3 linked regions of the Macaca fascicularis genome follow. The protein of the gene in region 3 interacts with the protein of the main gene of each other region in a pairwise test. Links are inferred from orthologs where the notes say so. Each region holds a gene or a part of one and is shown on either strand. Other genes may lie near its edges. The genes, in order: LGALS3, KLHL12 and PRR13.

Region 1 (3,748 bases), on a different chromosome or scaffold from region 3:
AAGGTAGAGTTACTTTCTGCTTCTCAGTGACTGATTTTTTCCCGCTATGGAAAAGCTGAACAGGGGTCAAAAGAGAACACATGACACTTAGTCAATAGCGAACTGGAAGTATACAGCAAGCACTGCCTAGCCTGGCTCTCAAGTTACCCACTCAGAATTTAATGAGAAGATCAGTTCAGGCACCAGACACAAGGAGCTACCCTTGAGTGGGAGCCTGTGTCCCAAACGACAGGAAAGAAGAGCTATGTTTGAGATCAGTTACCGCAAGTATCAAGTACGTAAGTTTACAAGTCACTTGGCATTTAAGGTCAACACGAGATTCTGAAGGCATACTACATGAACATAGGTCTCGGCTGCAGTTAAGGTTTATAGTCTGGCTAATGAAAGTTCTATGTAAAAAGGTACCTAAATTATACATGAGACCAGCATTAGCCTCTTGACCTCACTAAGTGAAAAGTCTTTATAAAGCACCTATGCATATTTGTAGCACAGCGAACTATCATAGATTAAAGACCTCTTAACAGAGCAAGACACCTATTCTACTTGGACACAACTAGTTTTCAGGGTCAATCCATCAGGCGGTACTCGTCCTCTTGTGCTTCTTACGTAACTTTTGAGGCATCCTCCTAGCACTTCTAAGTGCTAAATATTCAAGGACCATCATCAAACTTCTCCCCAGAATCTGGACTAAGTGCTGATTTTAAATGTCACCTCTAAATATGAATTTAGGAAGCTGCTTAAATCCCCCAAAGATCAAGGATGGGGTATGATCATCCCTAGAATGAGAGACCCTACCCTAAGGATTTAGAGTCAATGTCTAAAAGGGAGACCATTGTTGGAGAAAAGTAAATAATCATTATTCAACTTTACCTTTCGTGGAAACACACAATTTCCTAGCATGAAATGTTTATAAACTTGAGGTAGGCCAGGCGCAGTGGCTCAGGCCTGTAATCCCAGCACTTTAGGAGGCCGAGGCGGGTGGGTCACCTGAGGTCAGGAGTTCGAGACCAGCCTGATCAACATGGAGAGACACCCCCATCACCACCACCACCATCACTAAAAATACAAAATTAGCCGGGCATGGTGGCGCATGCCTGTAATCCCAGCTACTCGGGAGGCTGAGGCAGGAGAATTGCTTGAATCCAGTAGGCGGAGGTTGCAGTGAGCCGAGATCGTGCCATTGCCTGGGCAACAAGAGTGAAACTGCGTCTCAAAAAAACAAACAAAAAACACAAAAAACAAAAACCTTGAAGTAAACAAATCAGAACTTTGGAAGCTGACGACAGCTTTTTCTTCTCAAGCTCTGTGCCCAAGTGGTTCATTGTATCAGCCTCATTTTCTTCAGAATTAACTGAGCCTTCTCCCATTCCTTTCCCACAATCCTAGAAACAGCCTGGGTCACTGAGGTCCAGGTGTCCTCATTGTGCAGCAACCCAACTCCCAGAGTCACTTTACAAACATTCCGCAGTCTCTGGAATCGGCATGGCTAACTTGAAGGGTAAGACTGAGGCCTAAGTCCCAGCCTCCACCATGCGTCCCCGATTCCCTGGCCCTTAGTGCCTACTTCTCAGAGGGCAATCGTTTTAGTGTTTCTATTTGAGCACCCAATAATTCAGAATAAACTCTCAAACATGTTTTGGGAGTCCCCCGCTAGGGCTCTGCACACTAGGACCAACATTCTGCCACACCCAACACTTCCTCGGCACAGACAGTCTGGGCAGGGAAGGGCATTTGATTCGGAAAAGCTTAAGAGTTTGCAGTCTTCGCTAAGCCGGGTCATGCCCACTCAGGCCATGGGGCAAGCACCATTTCTGTGGGATTAGCAACCAGAGAGCGGCTGCAGCCCGGCCGCAGCTGGTCCTCGTGGAAGAACTCATTCGCGCCCCACAGAGAGATCTCCTCCGAGTCCAGCCTCAGCTGATGCTCAAAAGGGGCCGGGCGAGCCAAGCTGTGGGTTCCGGGAGGCGCCCTATGCAGTCCTCAGAAGTCCCTTCGCTCCCCCGCGGCCGAGCTCTGGGGAAGGGTTACCCGGCCCCAACCCCAGTTAGAGAAACTGGAGCGGCCGTCTGGTTTGCTGAGCGAGTCCCTCCGCCTCCCCTCGCAGCGGGACCTGGCAGGACTGGGGTGACCAGACCGCGGCTCTTCACCGGATGGGGCTTACTCCGGGGCCGCAGAGCGCAGCCGGCGGAGGTGCGACGGCGGTGAAGCCCCCGAGGCTCCGCAGAAGGTGGCCCGTGCCGCCGCGGGGACGTGTGTGGGTCTCGGAAGGCGCTGCCAACCTTTCCCGAGCGCCAGCGCCCTCAAGAATCAAAGGCGACCGCCCCGGGCCCGCCGCCCCGCACCCGGAGGGCAGAGCACAGGCTGTGGGGCTCTCCGCGCGCGTCCCGGCCTGGTCCCGGGGAGCCGAACCCCTCCGAGCCGCGCCCTAAGCAGCGCCCGGGCGCACTCACCCCTGCCCGGCCGGAGCCGCGTCCCCAGCGCCCCGCGCCGCTCACCGCTCGTTGGCTGGTTCCGGACGGCTGCTAACGAGGAGGTGCGGGCGCCGGCGGGGCGGTGGCTCCGAGCCTCAAATACTCCCAGCGCCGCCCGGCCCGCCTCTCCCGAGGCGGGGCGGCTCCCCTGCCCAGCCCAGCCTCTCCCCGGACCATGCTGGGCGAGCCCCGCGTCCGCCTGACACCCCGCGCCGCCGCCGCAGGGGCGACCAGGAAGCTCCCGACGGGCAGAGCGCGGGCTGAGGGGCGCGCCCTCTGCCACCACCGTTCGGTTCCGTGGCGCTCCGGGGGCCTGGGCTGCGGCCGCGTCTCTCCCCCGCCCTCTCCAGAATCACCTGAGTGAAGAATTCACTGAGGGGAATTCAATTAATAGGTTGCTTTATTTGTAGAATACAAAACCAAAAACCTTTTCAATGTCTATTGCCTAGGGAACTGACTACAAATTGACTACTTATTCTAGATCAATAGGCCTAGTCTCAAAGCAATTCCCTTATGAAGCAATTAGACAACTCTTTAACACATTTTGCACAGGAAATTCACATTATATATATATATCCTCCTTTTAACTTCACCTTATGTTTTCGTTGGAAGAAAGAGATAAGTATTATTATCTCATTTTTACTCTCAGGGTGCTATAGTCTGAATGTTTATATCCCGCCAAAGTTCATATGTTGAAATCCTAACCCTCATGGTGATGTGTTAGGAGGTGGAGGCCTTGCGAAGTGATTGGGTCATACGGGCAGGGTCCTTATGAATGAGATCGGTGCCCTAATAAAAGAGGCCGGAGAGAGACCCCTTGCCACTTCCACCATGTGAAGACACAGCCGGAAGGCGCCCTCTGTGAACCAGAAAGCAGGCCCTCACCAGACACCAAATCTGCTGGCCTGGGGATTTCCCGACCTTCAGAACTGTGGGAAATAAATGTATATTATCTATAAGCTACCCAGTTTATGATATTTTGTTACAGAAGCCCAAACAGACTAAAAGAGAAAATGATTTACTTATCCAAGCTCACTCATGTCTAGGAACAAAATCCAGAAATCCTGACTCTTAAACTTTATCTGGAAAAGCACCAGGTCAAAGAATCCTTGCAGGCCAAAACAAGGATCTCTGAGGAAAAAAAAAAAATTAAGGGGGGTAAGGGAAGAATCTTTGCAGGAACCGGCTTATGTAACCTATGGAGAAAACCAGTTATCATCTGGTTCCTAAATAATTCCTGTAGCCCTTATAGTAACCAATTAATAACATAAAGATAA
Region 2 (3,648 bases), on a different chromosome or scaffold from region 3:
TACAAAACATCAATATGATCATATCAGTAGCCTGCTTGAAACCTGCGGATGATTTCAAGTTGCACTTAGAGTGAAATCCAGTATTCTAATGCTCTCTGTATCTGGCCCTTGCTTGACTCTCCAGCTTCATATTTTACTCCTCTATCACCCTCATTCACTCTGCTACACTAGCCTTCTAGTCATTTCCTCAAGCTGCCAGTTCTTTTTTGCTGTAGGACAGAGCTGTTCAATGGAACATTCTACGAAGATGGAAGTACTCTATATCTATACTGTTTAGTTTGCTCCTGCTAGCCCCATGTTGCTATCGGGCACTTGAAATGTAGCTAATGCAACTGAGAAGCTGATTTTTAATTTTAATTATGGTGAATGTAAATAGCCACACATGGGTAGTGTATTGGACAATGCACTTCTGGTGCTTTTGAGTGTGCTCTTCTCTCTGCCTGGGAGTACTCTCTCTCTCTCTCTTTTTTTTCTTTTTTTTTTTTTTTGAGATAGAGTCTTGCTCTGTCGCCCAGGCTGAAGTGCAGTGGCGCGACCTTGGCTTACTGCAAGCTCCGCCTTCCAGGTTCACGCCATTCTCCTGCCTCAGCCTCTTGAGTAGCTGGGACTACAGGCGCCCGCCACCACGCCCTGGTTAATTTTTTGTATTTTTAGTAGAGATGGGATTTCACTGTGTTAGCCAGAATGGTCTCGATCTCCTGACGTCGTGATCTGCCTGCCTCGGCCTCCCAAAGTGCTAGGATTACAGGCATGAGCTACCGTGCCGGGTCCTGCCTGGGAGTACTGTCTTACTCCCCCTGGCTAACTGCTACTCATCCATCAGATTTCAATTTGTTGCTTCTTCAAGGAGGCCTTCCCTGCCTCACCAATCTAAACCAGAAAATCTCATGTTGTTCTGTCTCATAGCCCCAGTACCTTTCCTATATAGTATGTAATAATAGTGAGTTTTTTCATTTTTCTGATTTAGCAGTTTGACTCCCCACTTAAGAGCATGGATCATATCTGATTTGTTCACCATATCTGATTTGTTCACCATTGTGTAATCAGTTTCCAGGGCAGTGCCTGGCACTTAGGAGAGGAGTTCAGTAACTCCCTCAAATGAATGCACTTTTTGAAACACTGTCTGCATTTTTAGAGTATCACAGTTCTTGGAAAAAGTTTACAGAGTGATTTTTTTATCTAGTCACAGTGACACTCTGAAAGGTATCTCCCAGAATATGTACTCTCTAGGGGCTTGTAGAAGGGACACAGGACCTGTATTCAGGTGTCTGTCTTTGGGAAGTTCTAGGTGTTATTATATACCTAGGACCTTCCAGTATTGTAGAATAGGTTTTTTTTTAGAGTGTATCTCCCATTATCTAATTGGTCATATGTAATCTTAGACCTAAGTTCTCCAGATGATTAATTAATTATATCTTCTCAAATAGCATAGTGCCTAATACACAGTAGTTCCTTGAAGGCTAATTGATAATGCTTTTCCTTTTTATTTTTTTTAAGACATTTATTCAGCATCACGATCAGACTATTACATTTGGCAATCAACAGCATGGCTGCAAAAAAAAAAATCTGCATTAAAACCCTTTGTTGGAATGCTTTACACTTTCCACAGAACAGAAACTAAAATAACCTATTATACAATTAATCACAAATACAGTCCTCGAGTTTTTTGCCCATACACATGAGTATTTGTGTAAAATATGTCTGCTTTGTAGCAGTTAGGCCCTGCCACCACTGTGCTTGGCTAAATTCACAAATCTGTTGTAACCTGTAGCCTCCCTGTCACTTCTCTGGCTCCCCCTCCAGCTAAGCTTTATTTCCTAATTAAAATCTTCTGCCATTGCCATAGCTACTGCTGCTACTGGAACCACCATAGCCACCTTGGTTTCGTGGTTTGGCAAAGTATTAGTCTCTACCACCATAGGGGCCCAGAGCTTCGGCCTCCAAAGTTTCCTCCCTTCATGGGTCTTGTAATTGCCAAAATCACTGTAGCTTCCACCACCTCCAGAATTGCTTCCATCATTACCAAATCCATTATAGCCATCCCCACTGCCGCTTATCCACCACCACCACAGCTGTCATCTCAACTGAAACCACCTCCACGACCACCAGCAAAGTTTCCAGAACCACTTCGACTTCTTTGGCTGGATGAAGCACTAGCCATCTCTTACTTTGACAGGGCTCTCCTAACTTCACAGTTGTGGCCATTCATAGGGTGTTATTTCTGAATGACAGTCTTATTCACAGAGTCATGGTCATCAAAGGTTACAAAGGCAAAGCCCCTTTTCTTGCCACTGGCTCAGTCAGTCATGATTTCAATCACTTCAATTTTTCCAAACTGTTAAAAAATCTCTTAGGTGATGTTCTTCAGTGTCTTCTTTAATGCTGCCAACAAATACCTTTTTCACAGTTAAGTGGGCACCTGGTCTTTTGAGAATCTTCTTTTGAGACAGCTCTCTTTGGTTCCATGACTCTTCCATCCACCTTGTGAGGCCTTGCATTCATGGCTGCATCCACCTTCTCCACAGTGGCCAATGTGACAAACCCAAAGCCCCTGAGCGCTTGGTGTTTGGATCTCTCATTACCACACAGTCCATGAGCATTCCCCATTGCTCAGAATGACTCCTTAGGCTCTCATTGGTTATTTCAAAGCTCAACCCTCCAATGAAGAGCTTCCTCCGCTGTTCGGGCTCTTTTGGAGACTCTGACTTAGACCTGAGGGCAGGGAGAAGACAGACTTTAAAGATACTACTTTGGCAGCATCCACGGGCAGAAAGGCGATAATGCTTTTGAAAACAGCAACTAATGATGTTAGAAAAGCTCCTGCTTCAGAGGCTTGGATGAACAATTTGAGGGGTGAGCCTGGAGATCATTAGATAACAATTATGACTAAAAATTATTTCAAGAGCTGATTGTCAATAAGGCAACAGATTCCCCCACCTACCTTCCCTAAAGTTAGAGAGATGACCAGAGGCAATTCAGGAATGGGGAAAATTCTGAAACGAAGGCCAATATGTGACTAGTGATTTATTACGTACTGTTTATCATTCATATGTGTGTGTGTGTGTGTGTGTGTGTGTGTGTGTGTGTGTATAACCCAAATTGACTATAATTCTTTTCCTGGTCTGTTAGCTGTGTCTGAAAAAAATGTTTTCCCAAGAGCCTAGCTGTTTCTGGAAGATGGGAAATAATGGTGATGGGCAATGGGAAAGCAGGAAGGAGAAAGTGAACGTGGTTACTTTTTGAGATGGTGAGCTAATTGGAAAACTAGGATCCACGGTGTGTAATTACACATTTACAGGTGGATTCTGAAGAGCCAGTCTTTGAGGCTGTCATCAACTGGGTGAAGCATGCCAAGAAAGAGCGGGAAGAATCCTTGCCTAACCTGCTACAGTATGTGCGTATGCCCCTGCTGACCCCCAGGTATATCACGGATGTAATAGATGCTGAGGTAAGTGGTGCAACACTCTCAGGATCCAAAACCTTGACAAACTCTTACCTTAGTGTTCTGTATTCAAAACTGATTATTTTAACGTAGGCACAGAGTCTCCTGGTTTGCCTGTCTAGGAATGCCAGTGAGAGTGGTGCTGGGTAGTTCCCAAGCATATTTCTAAGAAAAGTGAATTTCTTGGCAGACTCTTGACACAAATG
Region 3 (3,748 bases):
TCAGGTCAAGTTTGTTAATTGTATTGTGTGTGATTTTTTTGTTGTCGTTGTTTATTATTATTATTTTTGAGACGGAGTCTCACTCTATTACCCAGGTTGGAGTGCAGTGGCACGATTTCGATTTCGGCTCACTGCAACCTCCGCCTCCCGGGTTCAGCGATTCTCCTGCCTCAGCCTCCCAAGTAGCTGGGATCACAGGCACATGTCACCACGCCCGGCTAATTTTTGTATTTTTAGTAGAAACGGGGTTTTACCATATTGGCCAGGCTGGTCTCGAACTCCTGACCTCGTGATCCGCCCGCCTCGGCTTCCCAAAGTGCTTGGATTACAGGCATGAGCCAATGTACCTGGCCACTTGTATTGTTTTCTTTAAAAAAAAAAAAAAAAAGTCTGGGCGCGGTGGCTCACGCCTGTAATCCCAGCACTTTGGGAGGCCGAGGCAGGCAGATCACGAAGTCAAGAGATGGAGACCATCCTGGCCAACATGGTGAAACCCCATCTCTACTAAGAAATACAAAAATTAGCCGCGCCTGTAGTCCCAGCTACTCGGGAGGCTGAGGCAGAAGAATCGCTTGAACGCGGGAAGCGGAAGTTGCAGTGAGCTGAGGTCGCACCACTGCACTCCAGCCTGGCAACAGAGCGAGACTCCGTCTCAAAAAAAAAAAAAAAAAAAAAAAAAAAAAAAAAAAAAAAAAGAGGCCATTGTAGCAATTCAGGGGAGAAATGAATCCAGGCGAGAGATGATGGGAGGTTTAGACCAGGGAAGACGGAGAGAAGTGGAGAGATTCCAGATGTATTTGTGAGACAAAACTGGTAATTTGGGGTAAGGGAGGTGAAGGAGACAGAGGGATCACGGAAGACCTCCTTGGTTTCTGGTTTAGGCTTCTTGACAGATGGCGGAGCTATGCAATTGAGAGAGGGAATCCTGGGAGAGATTATGAAATCTCTGTATTTTCCGCAAGAATGTTTGTTTGCTTCCCTTGCGAGTGTAAGAGGGAGCCGAGAACATTGAGGCTTGGGGCTAGGACTCAGCAGCTCCTCTGCCCTTGCCGAGAACTCTGTCTATATCTGTATTACAACACTTACCATAGTGTATTCACTTTACAAGGTATTGCACCCAGTGAACCATGACTAGCAGAGAGCAAGGGCAGAGTTTCTTCTCGGTGTCTCTAGGACTTTGCCCAGCAGCTGGCCCCGCCCCCTCTAGCGCTCTCCGCCTAGCTCCGCCCCCAGGAGATTTCCGGCTTCTCAGTACTTGCCTAGTCGTAAAGGGCTCCGGTCTGCAGCTAGAGCAACCGTTTCCTCCTCAGTTGGACCAGAGTGATTGATTAGTTTGTTGTCCAATCATCAGCCGAGTGGCCACATAATTACCAATTAGGCAGTAGCAGAGGCGGGTACCGAAGCACGGGGTCTGGGTGACTAGGTGTGACTAGGAAGTAAGAGCCGAGACTGCGAAGAACGCATCAAGTCCAGGCGGCGGTGGAAAGGTGACGTGGTATCTGAATTCCATGGGTTTATTCCTTTTCCCATTGCTGGGTTAAGAGCCCCTTCGCAGCTTGGGGCTAGGATCTTCATTTGCCTTTTTTCTTTTTTGGAGGAATTGGGCTGTGTCCATTTATTTAAGTATTTGAGGTTCTTGAGCAACTTCCTTCTTCGCCTCCAGGCGTATCCTTTTCTTAGCCTGAGGTGAGGTCCTCCCCAGGGAGAAAGTTGTTTGAGATCCTTTCTTACTCTGTGGGTGGTTAAAGGCCTCCGGACTCAGTTCCAGGAAAGGGGGATGAATGATGGGGGTGCCGAGACTCGCGGGCTATGCCCTCTTGCGAAGAGTTAGACGCTTCAACCTAGGTGGAGGGGCCCTGGGAACTAGATTCCTGTGTTAGGAACCAAGTAGGTATTGAGGGCGAAGAAACAAGTGGAAAGAGACATTTCTTTCTTTTTTTTTTTTTCGAGGCGGTGTCTCGCTCTGTTGCCCAGGCTAGAGTGCAGTGGCGCGATCTCAGCTCACTGTAACCTCCGCCTCCCAGGTTCAAGCGATTCTCCTGCCTCAGCCTCCCGAGTAACTGGGATTACAGGCGCCCGCCACCGCGCCCGGCTAATTTTTAGATTTTTAGTAGAGACGGGGTTTAACGATGTTGGCCAGGCTGGTGTCGAATTCCTGACCTCGTGATGCACCCGCCTTGGCCTCCCAAAGTGCTGGGATTACAAGCGTGAGCCACCGCGCCCAGCCAGAAAAGAGATGTGTCTTATGTGGAAGTCGTGGTAGTTCTCCAGGTGGGAGAGCCTACTGTGGGGTGGAAGACGTTAGGGCTGGGCTCCGGTGCTAAGTCCACTTCCTACCTCTAGACTGTCATCTTTTTTGCCTCATTTCTTTCTCCTCAGGCTGGAGGACACACCTAAACATGTGGAATCCCAATGCCGGTAGGTGTTTGGGGGTTCTGTACGACCCCTAACCCTTTTTCTGATGGACTCTGTAACAGGAAGTTTCTCTATCAGCTGCCCCATCCCCGACCCGCCACACCCGCAAAAGCAAAGTCCTTAGTCTACAGCTGACCAGTGCTTTTTTATTTTATTTTATTTATTTATTTTTTGAGACGGAGTCTCTGTCGCCCAGGCTGGAGTGCAGTGGCGCGATCTCGGCTCACTGCAACCTCCGCCTCCTGGGTTCAAGCGATTCTCCTGTTTCAGCCTCTGGAGTAGCTGAGATTACAGGCGTGCGCCATCACGCCCGACTACTTTTTGTATTTTTAGTAGAGACGGGGTTTCACCATGTTGGCCAGGCTGGTCTTGAACTCCTGGCCTCATGTGATCTGTCCACCTCGGCCTCCCAAACTGCTGGGATTACAGGCTTGAGCCACCACGCCCCACCGGCCTGACCAGTACTTTTGTCTTCCTCAGAGTTCACTGTCTCCCTCCTCTCTCCAGCCCTTACGGGGACATTCCCCTTTTATCCTCAACTCAGGTTTGTCTCCCCTACCTTCTATTCTCCTTTGTCACTTTTCCATTTCCCTTTAAGTATTGGGTGAGAAAGAATCTCTTTCTTTTTGTTGTTTGTTGTCGGAGACTCTGGGGAATACTAATGTTTATAATCTGCTTCTTCCCCCAGGGCAGCCAGGGCCAAATCCATATACCCCCAACATCGGGTGCCCTGGAGGTTCCAATCCTGCCCACCCACCACCTATTAACCCACTCTTTCCCTCAGGCCCCTGTCCTCCTCCCCCAGGAGCTCCCCAGGGCAATCCAGCTTTCCCCCCAGGTGGGCCCCCTCATCCTGTGCCACAGCCAGGGTATCCAGGATGCCAACCCTTGGGTCCCTACCCTCCTCCATACCCACCTCCTGCCCCTGGAATCCCTCCTGTGAATCCCTTGGCTCCTGGCATGGTCGGACCAGCAGTGATAGTGGACAAGAAGATGCAGAAGAAAATGAAGAAAGCTCATAAAAAGATGAACAAGCACCACAAGCACCACAAGCGTGGCAAGGTCAGTACCCTCTGGAGCCTGGCTAGGGAAGGGGTGCCCCCTCAGAGGGACTAGGTAGGCAGGGGTTGGGTGAGGGGGATTCACATTCTGTGGACGTGGGGGATGACGATTGTGTCACTCTGGTCGATGATTCTTCCTTTTTGTAAAAGATTGCTACTGGGAAGAATCTGATTATCTTGAAAAGAAACATCAGGCTTCTCCTATCTGGGGGGAGCTAGGGTGAGCCTTAAAATAGATTTTTAGAATCAAAAGCCAAATCTTTTCTGCCCTA

Evidence for each region.
Region 1: the proteins of PRR13 (region 3) and LGALS3 interact in binary tests that used the Homo sapiens proteins (3 or more experiments, as listed by UniProt). The two-hybrid records come from large-scale screens. The link is inferred for Macaca fascicularis from reciprocal best matches to the Homo sapiens genes PRR13 and LGALS3.
Region 2: the proteins of PRR13 (region 3) and KLHL12 interact in binary tests that used the Homo sapiens proteins (3 or more experiments, as listed by UniProt). The two-hybrid records come from large-scale screens. The link is inferred for Macaca fascicularis from reciprocal best matches to the Homo sapiens genes PRR13 and KLHL12.

The regions. Positions count from the first base shown.
Region 1 is NC_088381.1:122,989,202-122,992,949, reverse strand, and holds the start of LGALS3 (galectin-3), read right to left. Parts: upstream 2,542-3,748; 5' UTR 871-2,541; intron 1-870. UniProt on the Homo sapiens protein: Galactose-specific lectin which binds IgE. May mediate with the alpha-3, beta-1 integrin the stimulation by CSPG4 of endothelial cells migration.
Region 2 is NC_088375.1:60,664,762-60,668,409, reverse strand, and holds part of KLHL12 (kelch-like protein 12), read left to right. Parts: intron 1-3,298; coding exon 3,299-3,448; intron 3,449-3,648. UniProt on the Homo sapiens protein: Substrate-specific adapter of a BCR (BTB-CUL3-RBX1) E3 ubiquitin ligase complex that acts as a negative regulator of Wnt signaling pathway and ER-Golgi transport.
Region 3 is NC_088385.1:60,246,190-60,249,937, forward strand, and holds the start of PRR13 (proline-rich protein 13), read left to right. Parts: upstream 1-1,445; 5' UTR 1,446-1,487; intron 1,488-1,597; 5' UTR 1,598-1,686; intron 1,687-2,379; 5' UTR 2,380-2,399; coding exon 2,400-2,418; intron 2,419-3,103; coding exon 3,104-3,477; intron 3,478-3,748. UniProt on the Homo sapiens protein: Negatively regulates TSP1 expression at the level of transcription. This down-regulation was shown to reduce taxane-induced apoptosis.